2 linked regions of the Oryzias latipes genome follow. The main gene of each other region encodes a partner of the protein of the gene in region 2 in a complex. Links are inferred from orthologs where the notes say so. Each region holds a gene or a part of one and is shown on either strand. Other genes may lie near its edges.

Evidence for each region. Proteins that work in one complex are often made in the same cells at the same time.
Region 1: fnip1 (region 2) and lamtor3 share a complex: the UniProt entries of both Homo sapiens proteins name them as parts of the lysosomal folliculin complex. The link is inferred for Oryzias latipes from reciprocal best matches to the Homo sapiens genes FNIP1 and LAMTOR3.

Annotation. Positions count from the first base shown.
Region 1 is NC_019880.2:24,348,168-24,355,871, forward strand, and holds lamtor3 (ragulator complex protein LAMTOR3), read left to right. Parts: upstream 1-2,566; 5' UTR 2,567-2,632; coding exon 2,633-2,665; intron 2,666-2,749; coding exon 2,750-2,784; intron 2,785-2,939; coding exon 2,940-2,998; intron 2,999-3,365; coding exon 3,366-3,499; intron 3,500-4,145; coding exon 4,146-4,209; intron 4,210-5,277; coding exon 5,278-5,351; 3' UTR 5,352-5,468; downstream 5,469-7,704. Other genes in the region: dapp1 (dual adapter for phosphotyrosine and 3-phosphotyrosine and 3-phosphoinositide), read right to left, coding at 6,102-6,221. UniProt on the Homo sapiens protein: As part of the Ragulator complex it is involved in amino acid sensing and activation of mTORC1, a signaling complex promoting cell growth in response to growth factors, energy levels, and amino acids.
Region 2 is NC_019872.2:4,916,650-4,924,609, forward strand, and holds the start of fnip1 (folliculin-interacting protein 1), read right to left. Parts: upstream 4,489-7,960; 5' UTR 4,374-4,488; coding exon 4,282-4,373; intron 1-4,281. Other genes in the region: uncharacterized protein LOC101165494, read right to left, coding at 5,518-5,910, 6,007-6,038, 6,176-6,201, 6,337-6,376, 6,462-6,599, 6,690-6,975, 7,760-7,863. UniProt on the Homo sapiens protein: Binding partner of the GTPase-activating protein FLCN: involved in the cellular response to amino acid availability by regulating the non-canonical mTORC1 signaling cascade controlling the MiT/TFE factors TFEB and TFE3.

The DNA.
Region 1 (7,704 bases), on a different chromosome or scaffold from region 2:
CCGTGCTGGGCATGGCTGTCTACACGGGATACGTCTTCATGCCGCAGCACATCATGGCCATCCTGCACTACTTTGAGGTGGTACAGTGAGGCCGCCCTCCTCTTCTTCTTCGGCCTCCTTTGCTGGGGGACTCGTTGAACCTTCCCTCTTCGTTTCTCTCTGGTCCGTGGAGTGGTCCACATGACTGACTGCCGCCCCCGTGCTTCAGTGAAGCACGAGCTGATGGACGCAGACGTGGACTTCCTGCCAGAGCGGGCAGAAGAGACTGTCTAGACTTTATCACAGGAGGGTCCTTTTAAAGTTCTGCTTCACCTTTCCCACGTCTGCTCTGGAGAGCCTTTTCAGATCTGTTTAGCTCCGCCCCCTGATGGCGTCACACAGACAGTAAGGAGCGCTTTAATCACACATTCCTGGGTTGATGACGTTCTTCTGATCTAAGGAGGAACGTCTGGAGGAGGAGGAGAAGCTCCTCAGAAGTCTTTTCGATGAAGTCATCTGTGAGAACACCGTCCATCTTCTTCCCCTGAATGTTTTTTCTCCAACTGTGTGTTTTCTGAATGATGACATTATAATAAACATGTGTGTGATATGTTTGTAAAGGCTGGTTGTCATAATCAAAATGTTCATGTCAACTAATCAACACACAGAGAAACTTCTGAAGATTCACCTTTAAAAACGGATGGTTTCATTGAGACGGAAGCAGAAGCTCTTCATGGCTCCTCCAGAAGAGGGGGGACGGGTGGGACGGGACGGCGTGATGGCGGGGCAGCAGTGAAGCTGCAGAATATGTTTCAGACCTGATGAGTCCTGCTGTGTGTCCGACTGCTCTGACCTTCACGTCTCCACGCTCTGCTCCTCTGCAGCTTCCATCGTCTCTTCAGCCGCTGCATGAGACCTTTTTGAACCTGGGACTTATGTCAGACCCAGATCCCCTCTGAACCGGTCCAGCAGGTTCCTGTGGTCTGAATGGATTCCCTTGAAGCTCCTTCAGACCACGCCCACATTTCCATGTTTGTGTTTGCACCGAAGACCGTTTTCTAGGAGAACAGCTTCCTTTTTCCAAATACCTCTCATACATGAACTCTTTCATGTCTGTGTCTGGGCTTTTTTCCCCTAAAACTACATTTGACAATTGGAAGATGAACGTTTGAAGATTTAGTTCACGTCTCACCTGTTCTGAAGAACATGATCAGAAACCTTCTCCTGCCTGAGCTGCAGTGCCTGGAATGTCCTGGAAACAAAGGACCCTGGAGGTGACGACACCCACCTGAGCAATCCACACAGAAAGAAACAACCGATCTGGAGGAGGCAGCTCTGCTGAAAAAAGAACTAATGACTTTTATTGGGCAAATGTTACTGATGGATGGACTGACGACGGGCTTTCAGCAGGGACAGCAAGACAGTATAATAATCTATAATAAGGGATGTTACAATACCGGACAAATAAATCAATATATTGTATCTGATTGGAGACCAAATACTAATATTTTCTTGTAGGTGGCAGTAGCTGCGAAATATTTTAGCTGTGTTTAGAATAAGTTTAAAAGAAATTTCCAATTCAAAATAATTGGAAAATAAAGTTTTAGTCAACTTTATTGAAATATGTTGCCAGCACATTTCGATCAGTTGTAAGTAATGTTAGAATCTTCACTTAGTCCAGAACTATGATGGAGGTTCTAATATATTTTCTATCTACATTTTTCCCAGTCAAAAGAAGACAAAAAACATTAGACTTGGTTTGACCATGGATGAACCATGACGTCTGACCACCAGCAGGGGGAGCAGAGAGCACACGGCAGTTTAAAACAGCGAAGAAGAAGCGTCACGTGACAGCGAAGAAGAAGCGTCACGTGACTGCAGCTCTTTGGAAATTCACGGTGGTAGCATCAGCTGATTGTTTGTTTAAACGTTCAGAGGACCGAGCTCACTGTGGAAACGCTCCGGACGGGCTCGTCGTGTTTTGGATTCGGAGCCGGCGGTTCTCCTGACTTCCTGTGACGGAACCGGCTTGGGTCCTCGGAGCTGCCATGGCGGACGTGAGTCTGTCTGTCCTCCTTTAGCACCTCCTGTTCTGTTAGGCTTCACTAAAAACTCTTTAGTTTTTGGGAAGATGCTCAAAGTTCACTATTCTCTTCTAATTACAAAAACACACAGTATCATGTGGGATGGTTTGTAGGTGATAAATTATTTCATTTGGCATTTAATATTGTATTAATGTTTCATTCACAACAGCAAATTCTTAAAAAAAAATCAAACCATTACTTAATAAATTTTAGAGAGAGATATGTTTTTTTTAATCACTAAAGTTTATTAAAACAAAAGTGCAAAACAGATAAGCTGTGTAACAACCCTTAGTTTTATATTACATTTGTATTAGACTACAGTCCTAATTTTCATCTTTATTTCTTTCTGTTCTATACATGTGGATATGTTGTGTTAAAAACAGACGCTCTACAGAGGTCACGTGACATTTTTCCATTAACTGTTTATGAGAACTAGACTGGGTGACTCCTCCCCCTGGCTGTCCAAACAGGAAGTACCTGTTGGCTCCAAGAAGCCAGAATCCCATAGACTTCTTTGGAGAAATTAACAGCGGTTACTCGGTCACTATTGTCAGTAATGCTGGGTGAAAATGGTGGTGGGGAGACCAGGATCTTCTCTGACGGTTTGAAGCTCTAAAGCTCACAGACGTCCACGTTCTTGACTGTTTCTGAGGTTGCTCCTTAACTCTTTATGCTCCCGTCTGCAGGATCTGAAGAGGTTCCTGTACAAACAGATGCAGAGGTGAGGCTTTTGTCCCTTATTGTTATTGCACAAAGTGATTTACTTTAACTATATAACAAGAAAAAAAAATCTGTATTATAAATCAAATCTCTTTTCTCAAAAAAGAGTTTTTGTATCTTATATCACATGTAAATAGTAGTTTTCTGTGTCCTCAGTGTTGACGGGCTTCACGCTATCGTGGTGACGGACCGAGACGGCGTCCCGGTAATCAAAGGTGAGACTTCTTCTGTTTCGGGTTTTCTGTTCCAATAAACTGTGTTTTAATAACTTATTAGAAATACTTTTGGCCTCAGGGCCAACCTGCTACTCAACAGGAACGCTTTATCCTCAGCCTCAGCAGCTTCTTGTTGTGGCAGTAGTTTCATGGTTTGGGGTGACTCAGCTCTGGCTCCACTCGTACGAGTTTAGGTTAGAAGTCACCAAAGTAGAGCAGAAAATGGATCTAAAAGACTCATTCATCTGCATTTTAGGGGTCAAACTGTTGGGGATTTTTCTGACTTTTTTTTCTGGCCCTGGTCTTTGAACGCACCGCTCACCAGCAGGAAGTCCTCATCCTAACACGCCTGCTTGTTTTCCTCCAGTTGCCAACGACAGCGTTCCGGTGCACGCGCTCAGACCGGGCTTCCTGTCCACGTTCGCTCTGGCCACGGATCAGGGGAGCAAGCTGGGCCTCTCCAAGAACAAGAGCATCATCTGCTACTACAACACCTACCAGGTGACCCCTCCCAGCATCACCGCGTGGGGGCGTGGCAGCCGGAACACCGGCGCCTTTCACCCGCGCTCGCTTCATCCGGTTCCTGCCAGTTTGTGTCCGGTCCGGGTCAGATCCAGAACCAGACTCTAGTCTCCATCGTCTCTTATAGTAACAAACTTCCTGTTTGTAAACTTTTGGGGGTGGGATTAAGAGAATAGCCTCACATAAAAGCAGAGTGAGACGGACTGAAATGAGATGATCCATGGGAGTCGGATCACAACAGAAGCACTAGAGCAGGTTCTGTAAATGTCAGAGGGTTCTGAGAGTAAAGAAGAACTTCTGCTGGGACAGAGAGGAGAAAAGTCTGCAAACGTTATCCTCTGATGGAGCAGACAAAACGTCCAGCAGAGGAAAATCTCAGAATCTGTTGGTCTTCTTTTGTTTTTCATGATTTGTTAAGCCAGCTGAACTTTTTCCTGAGTTTTTTTAAGAAAAATCAGAGAAGTGAAAATATTTGGGTTTTTTTTATTGCTAAGTAAAAAAAAAAACCAAATCACTCTGATGGATTCCTTCTGCTCTGAACCAGCCTAACCCGGCCAATCTCCATGGTAACCAGACTCTGCTCTGGTTCTGCCTTTGTGACCCGTCTGCTGTCTCTGCTCGACAGATCATGCAGTTTAACCGCCTGCCGCTGGTCGTCAGCTTCATCGCCAGCAGCAGCGCCAACACAGGTGAGATGAGGAGGCGTGTCTGAGGAGCCCCGCCCACTGGTTATCTGCAGTCTGTTTGATGTTCTCTGAACAGAGCGTGTCTTAAAATGATCTCAGTCTTCATCTCCGTGCACCCCGCTGTTCGTGTGTAGCTTATTGCTGCATCGTGGGGAAGGAGAAATATCGCCATGGAAACGCAAAAACTTTTACCTGAGGCCTTTTCATCATCCAAATGAAAGAAAGCAGAGAAAGTGACTCAGCATCATCGTCCAAAATATGTTGCAATGTGGTAATACTGGCATTTAAAATACGGCTCAAGAGCCAAGAAGTTGAAGTTTATCTGAGAAAAAACCCGACATTTCAGATCATTTAGTCTGACGGGAATCTCCAGGAATGTTCTGGATTATATTTAGTGAAAAGAAGAAAAAAAGTTCTTGTCAAACCCCTTCTGACAAAAGATGAATCCTGTGAGTCTGACCCATCCTGCAGACTCAGGTGGGAGGGGCCTAATCAAAACCTAGAGTGAGCCCTCCCCCCCTGGCGTTCCAAACAGGAAGTACCTAATCCTACAGAGAAATAGACAGCTGTTACTCAGTCTTTTGATCCGAGTAAGTATTCTTACTCGGATACATTTTTTTTATGATCGTCATATTTTTCTGTGGTTCAAGTTATAAACTGACCAATCAGATAAGAGTATCCATTCGACAGATTTCATGTCTTTTAAGTGGTGGTAGGGGTGTGGAGTTCCAACAAGCTCACTCCTGATTGGTGAGAGTGGTTGCCATAGAAACATGGACTCAGATTGACTTATCGCTGCTTATATATCCTGAAAAAATGGCGAGTGAATTGACTTCATGTGGTTGGAGCTGGAGGTAAACCATTTTCTCTGTGTGATGTCACATTCAGTCCAGTGCTCATATGCAGTCAGGGGATTCTCCAGATAAACCTGATCCTGACCAGGGTAGGGTCAGATTGTTTCCATAGCAACAGACTCCAGTTAGGAGCCATCCAGCTTTGTGAAAATGAATCCATCTGGTTTTTCACACGAGTGGGAGGCGTTTTGTAAAAACCCTCCTTTTCTGTCCTCAGGCCTCATCATGACTCTGGAGAAGGAGCTGGCTCCTCTGATGGAGGAGCTGAGGCAGGTGGTGGAGGTCACATAAAGTCCCATGATGCTTTGCTAAGAAAACCCGCCTACAGTTTCTACCGTCGCCTCTGCTGCAAACTTCTCACCTTGCGTTGTCATTTCTAACTCTTGAATAAAAGCTTTTCCATCAGGAGCTCCACTGTTTGTTTTTTTCTCTGAGAAGAGTGAAGAACCACAAAAGCGTCCCACGCTGAAGATGATTCTCATGATTCCAAAATTATTGGTTAGGTTGGAACGTAAAAAAATGGAATTAAAATCTGACAAAAACTTTTAAAAAAAAACAAAGAAATCACTTTTATATTTCATTTACATTCACAATATGACAAACAGTCATGTTTGGTGTAATCTGAAAAATATAATCCACGTTTTTCTCGTCTCTGATATTCAGATTAACTTTAACCCTTGTGCTATCCTATGGGGTCCAGATGACCCCACCCTTACACCCCACCCCCCCACCTCCATCTGAGATATTTTTTGAAGTCAAACTTTCAGTGTCTTTACAGTGATTTAAATATTTATTCTAAAACAGCAAATATAATACACAACTAAAGTGAGGTGGGGATCTATTTTGAACAACATGAATCTATACAACATTCCTCTGGTCCACTTTAGCTGAAACTCCAGAACAAACAGAAGGCTTTTCTGACCAAAATACTTTGGATATTTTTTCAGTCTTTAACATACAGCCGACAGTCGATCCTCAGCACCTGAACTCAAACAGTTTTTCAAAATAAATGCACTTTTTTGAGGAGGATGTTGGGTTCCATCAGCGGTCAGGACCGTCTTCTGCAGCCGGAGCGCTTTCCGGTCCGTCATCGACCTTTTCTCGTCTGTGACTGCAAACAAACACGAGGCCGTGAACAACATGAGCCACAGCGACGGAGGCCTGAAGAGCACAAACAAACCCAACAGATTCATGGCCTGAAAGCTACAAAAACGTGCACATAAACCTCTGTCTGCAGAGCTAAGTGACTGTCTCAACTCCCAGCATCTCCATCTCTAAAACATACGTCTTAATGGTGTTTTTTTTTTATTTCTTTACAAACCAAACCTCTTATTCAAACTTTTCCTATGGGGACATTTCATGGGGGGTGCTCTGGATGTTTGGCAGACATGAACCCATTAACCCTTGTTCTATCCTATGACCCCACCCTTGCATTGACGTGTTGGGATGCCTGTGGGAGGGGCTAAGCCTTCATAAGGGGTGAACTTACTTTTCCCAGTTGAGGGAGAGCGGTCTTGGTTGCAGTGGTGGCAACAGGCTCTCCCGAAATCAGCTGAATTTATTGTCTGATTTTTCTTTTCTTTTTCTTTTTTTTTGGGGGGGGGGGGGTCAATAAAATCCCATTTTTGAAATTTTGAGTCTGCTGGCTTGGGCATCTTATTTCAGAGTGATTTATTTTTTTGCTGCTGAGAAGAACCCCGTCACAGCCACTGAGCTAAATACATTTGCACGCATATCCCGTTCTGTTAATGTCACTCTGGGGAGGGGCCAAAGTTGAAGATTCTACTTGTAAAAAACAAATCTAGAAAGTCACCAAAAGGAGCATTTTTGTTTTCAGCGTGCACTTATTTGACAAGGAGTTGCCAAAAGGCATCATTACTAACTGCTCTTGGAAAATATTATAGATGTAGAATTTATAACTTATTACACACATCATTGGAACACAAACACAGTTTTTCCTTTTTATACGTATAAGCGTTTATATTTAGCATTGATGTTTATTTTCATATTTAGCATATATATCAGAGTGCTTTTAAATGTCACATATATGTGTGGGAAATTCTGCCTCACAGGTAATAGAAATGTTAGAAAAATTGATTACCGTAATTTCCGGACTACAAGCCGCTACTTTTTTCCTGCGCTTACAGTCCTGCGGCTTATTCAGTGACGCGGCTAATTATTGGACTTTATTGGCGGCCGCCGTGTACGTATTTTTGGACACAGTGAATAGTTTGAATTCTCTAACATCAAACACAAGTCATTTGTTTTTCAACACACCTCTAAGCAGCCAAACAGCATGGACTTGACTTCAGGTCTTAGACACTTCAGTCATGGTTCAACAAAACGAAACACGCATGTCCAGCCGCATCCCAGAATCCTTTGGTGCCATTAGACCCAACGTGCACGTGATCGCCGCTACAATATGATGAAGCTTTCAAGTTAAAAGCAATCGTTAAAAGCAGCGTGAAAAAATCACCAACGGGTTTGGAAAAGCCGGTCAGCTGCGTGACGGAGAGAACAGCGCATGCTCAGGAGTGCATTTACCTCTGAGTCATAGTGACTCGGCTGGCTGCACGTAAATATGTGGCAATAATATCAGCCTTTATTTTGTCGGGACACGACTGGAAACACAAATTGACGTGGT
Region 2 (7,960 bases):
AATTTAAATAAAATTAAAGCAGCCATGTAATATATTAAAGTTTTATTTGAATAAATTGATTCAGTAGAGATCTGACATCTCTTTAGAACTTTTAAGGTGTAGAAATTTGGCTTTTATCCAGAGCGTTGTTCTTTTTTTTCATAAACATGACCTGTTAAAATGACCTATATCCTGCTTTGCTTAAGCCTTTCAGAGTAAACTATATCCATATATATGATAATGCATTAGCTTTGGCCCACTAAAGAAGGATTTTTTATGAAATAAGAGCCATTTTCGCAGCCCTTTTTCCAACCTGGAAGTAAGACGGCTCGATCTCTGAGGCACCGCCTTTCGCTCCTTTTGGGTGCCGCCCATTTCATGACATCGACCTAAAGTAGGCCTCAGCAGCGTGTCTGCGTTACACCCATGAAAACAAACAACGTCCGAACTTTTCCAAAGATGCATGTGAAAATAAAATGAAAGCGTTTGGTCGATCACCGTTAGCTCCACTGAGAAAGTGGGTGTGTGAGTGTTAGCCTGGGGGCGGTGCTGGCAGCACAGACGCTTCCTGGAAGGGCGGGGCTCACTCTACGTCACAATGTGAGAACCCGCTTGTTTTCATGGGTTGGGAGGGGCTGGTGTTTAGAGCACAGGTTTTTAGAGGAGTATGCAGAAGTGCGTAAATGGGTCAAATTACTGCTTTTTTGTTGTTGTGAAGAATGAGAACTATAATACACCTAGAAGCTCAAAAAAGTTGATTTTACATGGTATAGGACATTTAAATGAAAATAAATTAAAAGCATTGCTCCAAATTGAGCTGCTTATGGAATAGAGGTCAGACTTCTTCTACTATAATAAGACCACTTCTCTTTCCATTTATCCTACAGTATAGAACAAAAATTCAAAATAATCAATAACACATATTGCAAAAAAAAAAAAAAAAAAAAAAAAAAAGTTATGTACGAATCACTTTTGCACATACACAATAGGATCTGATAGAATTCACCAATAATGGATGATAAAAAATAAATGCTTTTAAAAGTGTGTATTAAAAGAGGGGTCTACTTAACCCAACAGACACACAGGTTACAAAATATGCATTCTTCATTAACATCCAAAAGTCTGTCTTTGCTTATCCAGCTATGGCTGTGACCACAGCCATGTGATCATTCCAGAAACATGACAGGCCCAGCTTGATGAAAACCTCACATGACACACCACATTCTGAAACCATGTAGTAGGGGAAAGATCCTATTCCAGTCAGGAACCTGAGAAACGTCTTCTCCTGAACCATCATTAATGAAATGACCACTATAAATACGTTCCATGCAGCTTAAAACTTTGCAAAGCCTTCTGCAATGTCAAGCATTTCTAAATGTGGACAAGTATTCTGAGAATCATGTCGTTGCTATTAAAAATATAAAAGTTCACGTAGTTGCAATTATGAATTTTGCATCAATAAAAAAAATAAATCTCCAAAAAAATAATAATAATAAAGTTCTGCGTAATTTTTGAACATCTAAAAATAAAAAAAAGTTTTTTCCTTAAACATAACATAAATGTAAAAAGTTTTTTTATTATTATTAATTCCTGTGTATTGCTTCTACAGACTCCACACATTTCAGCACAAGCTTATTTTTAAGGAGCTGCATGACACAGGTCAAGAGGGAGGGTTTCCTCAGCAGGCTCCCGTGACAAGCAATCTGAGTCGCGGCACTGGAGACCGGCTGCAGATGAGCCAGAAACTCTCGGCGTATCGTACAGTACGCTTTCCATGGCTCAGGAGTTGCAGCTATGGAAACAAGAGAGGCTTTTAGGCTTTACTGCAGGGTGAGCCAACCCTCTACCCTCTGTGGTATTTTGAAAGCCACAATGATGCGGTCCGATTATGTTTTTGGTTGTTGACGCTTAATGTAGGGCAGCAAGATGTGAACAAAGACTAAGTTCAGTCAAACTTATTTGTGTGATTGTATTAGATGTTCTAGTTCCTTTATTCAGTCAGACTTAGGATTCAGGTTTGGAGTTTCTAGGACAAAGTGCCAGGAACCTCCAAATAACTAATAATAACTAACCCAGGCTACTTATAACAGCATTTAAAACAGATTTCTCACTGGTGACTGAATTAACCTGAAACTTTCTCCAGTCCAGCTGTTCCTCATACACATTCTAATGAAAGATACTTTAAAAAAATGTATTTTCTTTAACTCGGAAAACATTCATTCAGTATCCCTTGTATGTAAAACTACACTAGTCATAAATATTAGCACCCAAGTGTCCTTTCCCTACTGTCTATAGACAGATTTCTCCCCTTCAGAGCCATTTCATGGTTGATGAATGGGGGAAGCTTTAGCCAGAGGTATGAAGAGCACAGCTGACCACAGAGTTAACAGAACCGCCTGCTGTCTGTTTGCTCTAGACTGATGCCAACCAACACCAACTACTAAGCCTAATTACACATTTACACATGCGTCACTTTTTTTTAAATCACCTTTCTGGCCATCAGATGTGCTATAGCCCATGCTGGGTAAAGTGCCAGCAGCCTAACAAGAAGATGAGCTTTCATGACCACAAATAATTCACAGTTAAAGGACAACATGCGACATTGCCCAGTAAAAACGTAGAAATTCAAAGATTCCCCATTCAAAGCATACATTACTCTCATCTAGAAGGTGTGCTAGACTATCCTAGACTATCCTAGAAAAATAATTTCGGTGTAGTATTTTATCAAATACAGCGACAGTAATAAAGTAAAAGTCAACTTTTAGTTCTAATCAACTCAAACATGACATAACTTTAGCAAACTATAGTACAGACATCACTTTAGTCCAAATACATTTAGTTCATAATCCTAATTCAAAAATATATTTTGAAATACTTTTTTGAAAGCAGTATTAAAAATATATGAACATTTATTTTGCAATCTGTTTATGCACGAATGCAGTGGAAAGCAATTTTTGATTACTTTATTTTTACTAATAGATAGTTGTAAAACATACTAGATTTTGCCTCAATAGACACTGCTTTTGCAGTATCTGATAATAGGAATATAAAATACATCATTAAAAAGATAAATTAAATTATTAAAAGGTAGTTAACATCAGCAGAAATAAAACAAAATAATCTGATATGGGGGAAAAAAAGGTGAAAAGGCATTTATTTTCTTTTTCTGACCAAATATGGATCATTACTGGTTAGGGAAAACAAAACAAAGCACTGCAACATGAGAATATTTTTTTTAAAGATTTGTATACAAGCAAAATACATTTCTGAGGTGATGCTCCAGCATTTTTTCTTTAATTTTTAAATGTACAGTTCCACAACCCTTTTTCATATAACTAGCGATTTAAGAGTAATAAAAGTGGAGATGCAATAAAATATCAAAATATTTGCATATAATAAAGTTGCTTTTGCATGAAAAACATGTTTTTATTGGTGTAAAGCAATAGTCACTTTTAACCCAGACAATTCTGGTGGAGTTCTTTGTGTCTCAATTTCTAAAAATAAATAAATACAATGAAATTGTTACAAGTTTTGCTGTTTTATTGTGCATTTATATGTAAAAGAGGTCATTTTGTCCGTTTATTTCAAAGTGCCATCATATATTCGCAAAGGCATCCCATGTGAGAACTGTTGGTTCAGAAGCAGATCCGGACCGTCAATTCTGCATCTCCAAACGGGCCACGGAAGCTTTCACATGTCATCCGACAGAGCACACTGTGTCCTCCCTCTATCAGACCGAAACGGCGGAATACAATATCATCTGTGTACTTTGCTCCACGTTCAGCAAAGATGAGCAACACGGGAGAGGGTCTGCGCTGCCCTGCACGCGCTCAATTACTGCCAAAGACACAGAAAGGGAGGCACGAGGAGAAACAAAGGAAAAAGAGCGGCACACTGCTCCCTTATAACTTCTATAAGCAACAAACACAGACTCGCTAAAAGCTCAGAGTTTGTTTTAGCTACAAAATCACGTCATACACGGAACAATATTGGTTTAAATGTTTGGGATGAGATCGATATTGAGCCAAGTCGCACCAAGAAAGCGTGTCCTGCAGCTCGGCTAGTTGTTAGCATTAGCATGCTAGCTTCCCGCAACAACAGTCACAACACGTATCCCACGTACTTTACTTTACTTGTATACAAAGAGGTGCACAGGGGCTATTTAGAAGCCACACTTCCTAAACATTTACCACCCGAAGTTATACTTTCTTACCAAACAATACAGTGAATTTAATAAATAAATAAATAGCGCACACAACATTACACACACAAACCCCGAACAAACACACACAGGACAGCTACCTGAAAGCGACGTCTTCTTTGCTGCATCTAGGTGGTGGCGATGAAAATGCATTCTTCTTGTTGAAAAGTTTGTGGAAAAGAGTTGGAGGCATTTTGTTCCCACAACGAATTCGGCACGGATACCCGTTCTTTTCAAATCCACAAGCAAATTTTGTTCCTTGTAACTGTCTCCATGGGTGTCAGTCATATGACAGGCATTAGTCACAGGAGCACCTTGGTAACCATCTACATTTTCCTGATTGGCTAACCAGATACGGCTGCTACTACAAACTACGCGATTGGCTTATATTTTTGGACTGGAACCACGTGACCACAGACTTTTCCGTGTTGATGTTTTGTCTAGAATCGTTACGTCACTAAATTTAGTCTTTTACACCGGTTGAACTTCGGACAGAAACATGCTATAAATTTAACACTTATTTCACAAATATCCTTTTAAAAACAAAACAAAAAAATCCTAAATTGTACGTATACAGTGGAATACATTGACATATATATTAATGTTTACAGAACGTAATTTAATTTTAAATAGTTTTTATTTCACAGTTGTAAATTATACAAAAGATGAAGGTTTTACTATTTTGACTAATTTGCGCATTCTCATTTTTATCAAAAAGACACCTTTCAAAAATGTAACAACCTGATATTCAAAGGATTATTGAAAAAACATTTATAGAATTTTGAATATTAAAATAAAAACGTTGGCATACGTTTAACACGTGTTATATTTATTTTTATTTTTTAAAGAGGACAAGAAAACTGATACAGATGCGCCACCTAGTGTTCAACATTCACAACACATTTGGATTACATGCAAACATTAAAAATACAGGCTCTAACATTGTTTTTGCTTTATATAATATGCAGATACATTAAAAGAGGTTACAGAAGAAACAAAGCTATAGAAACACACATTACATATTAAAATATACCCACATCTTGTATAGTTTTATAAGGTTTAAAAACTCTTATTAGTATGTTTATTTTCTTGATGTCCTATACTGAAAAAGAAAATACAAACATTTACTGTTTTGAAGGCATTCATGTTTTATATCAAACTAATTTATGAGCTAGTTCTCTTTATTTGCCATTGTATTTGTTTTATTAATTTATCCATGTCTTCTAAAGTCAGAGTCATTTCTCACAGAGAGCATGTTCGTTCCAATCATGTTTTTATATTGTCATTTAGGCAAAAACTATGTTGTGCAACTGTACACTGTAGTATCAGAGTTAACTTCAGGTTAACTCAGATCTGCTTTTATTACGCAGAGGGCTTTGGGTGCCTACAGTAAAAGGAAAATAAAATGAGCACCTAAGTTTTGCACTTCTATCTCTCATGTTCTGAAAGAGAGCATCCATGTCAGCGTTGCTGGTAAAGTCAAAGAACATGGTTTTCTCAGTCTCAACAGGCCTTTTTGGGGTCACCGTTATTTCTTTTTTAGAGCTGATTTCATCCATTTTGGGCGTCTGTGCATCTGGTTTCGTCCGCTCAGAAACTCGGGATAGTTTCCGGATGGTGTCATTTATGCCTGAAGGTGATGGAGCATGTTTTTCTTTCAGAGGCTCAGAAATGACCGGGCTTTTGAATGATACCCTTTTTCTGCACACTATGGGCCTTCTCCCAACAAACTAGGGCAAAAACACAATTATTCAACTGCTACTGAAAAAACACAGTTGATTAACAAAAAACATTTAAAATGATGAAGTAACACATATTTTTCTTACATCTTGTGCAGGTTTCATCTCCTGAGATTTATCTGTAGATGCAGATTACAAAAAAACATAGGTATAATTTGGTTATAAAAATGGATTTAATACTATAAAAACAGAGAAACTTATAAATCATGTAGCTTAAAAATATTTCCTAAATTAAATGAATCAATTTGTATCTTACTTTCAGTGTGAGTTTCCTTCTGGTAGCTTTGTAGGGGGGGAAAAGACTGGTTGATTAAATATTAATTGCACAACAGCTTTCTTTCCAAAGATGTCAGCACTGAAACAACATTTAAAATCATTTCATAAATTTTTTAATGCAGTATTAATATATCCACTCACCTGCTCTCACTGTTCTTTTCAGCAACGTGTGTGGATACATCTAAACACAAAAACTATTGTAATTATTGAATTCAAGTTGAAAAAAAGTTCAGGTTGTCATTTCAATATTTTTTTCAAGTTTTCACCTATAATAGTGGACATGTTGGGTGGATGATACGTGTGGATGCTCTTTGAATGGCTTTCATCCAGCAGGGTAGAGTTTTTAACATTACAGATAATCCCAAGCATCTCCTCTCCATTAAGGAAAGTCTGTGTTTCCACTGCTGAAACAAGCCATGAAAAATATGACAAACTGTCCAGAAGAAACACAAATATTTCTGGGTAGATTTGAAGCCACACACAAAAACCACTACCTTCTCTTCTGAAAATCTCTGGGGAGGGATAACTGCTTAGGTTTGTCGAGGTAGAGGAGGATCTGCTGTCGCCATGCTCCTCTGAGTTAGACGTTGAGCTTGTTTCCATGACAAAAGATGTGACACTTTCTGGAGTGTCTCCAGCTCCAAAAGACTGAAGTATTGGAGAAGCTTTATTGCTTGCATTGCTTGTTTGCAAAATTTTTTGACGGTTAATAGGAGTTGCAGTTTTTTTACAAGGTTTAAAGCATGACACTGAAACGCGATGGAGAGGCGCAGTGTTGGCCTGCAAGTACAAAGAATAGTAGGGAAGTCTGGAAAAATAACATGGCAACTGTACACGGTCAAATTAGAACTGTTCTAAGCAAAAAGTAGGAAACTCAAAGTTTATTGGTTATATCTATTACATCTGTTACATCTATTTTATTAAGTATACTTAAGTATAAGTCAAGCAATACCATAGACTATGTGCATGTAGTGTAGGTAGTATACCAACTAAATACTTCTTCAGACTTAATTGGAACATTTTACGTTTACAATAAATTGATAGTATTTGAAAGTAAACTTTATTACCCCACTTTTAGTGCAGACTAAGTATACTTTTAGAACTCTTGGAAAAGACAACTTTTTGCAAAAGGTTCCCTTCCGAAAAAATTAGTACACTTGATGTTTACTGTATTAGGTTTACTTAGGTAGGTATAGCTATAGATAATACATGTGGTGTAGGAAATACGCTCAATGAATACTTTTTCAGACTAAATTGGAACATTTCAAGTTTCAAATATATTGATAGTATATGAAAGTAAACTTCAATTATACTACCTCACTTTCAGCGTAGACTAAGGATTCTTGTAATACCCTTAAAAAGACTATTCTGCAAAAGATTGATTTTAAAACAAAATACAATAGATTCTCAATTTCTGAACATTTCTAAAATAGACTCAGTTTTCTTTTAATATTTAATATTAATCTATTAAATATTGAATATTTTTGTTTACTTTCTCAATTAAACGTTGTTTATATTTCCAGAGTTAAACTGGGAGTTGGTGCACTTTATTTTGCAAACTTACCAACACTGCGCCTGCGCGTCGACCTGTGGAGAAACTCGTGCCACCATCTTCACATTCCTCCACTAAAGTGTCAAAATGTTTGTTCGGAAGAAGTCTCCTATTTCCTGAAACAAGTGATGTAGTTGGGTGTGGGATTACAACAAGAAAAACAACAACAAAAAATACCTGGGGGGGGGGGGAGTTCAGTGAACGACGTCATTT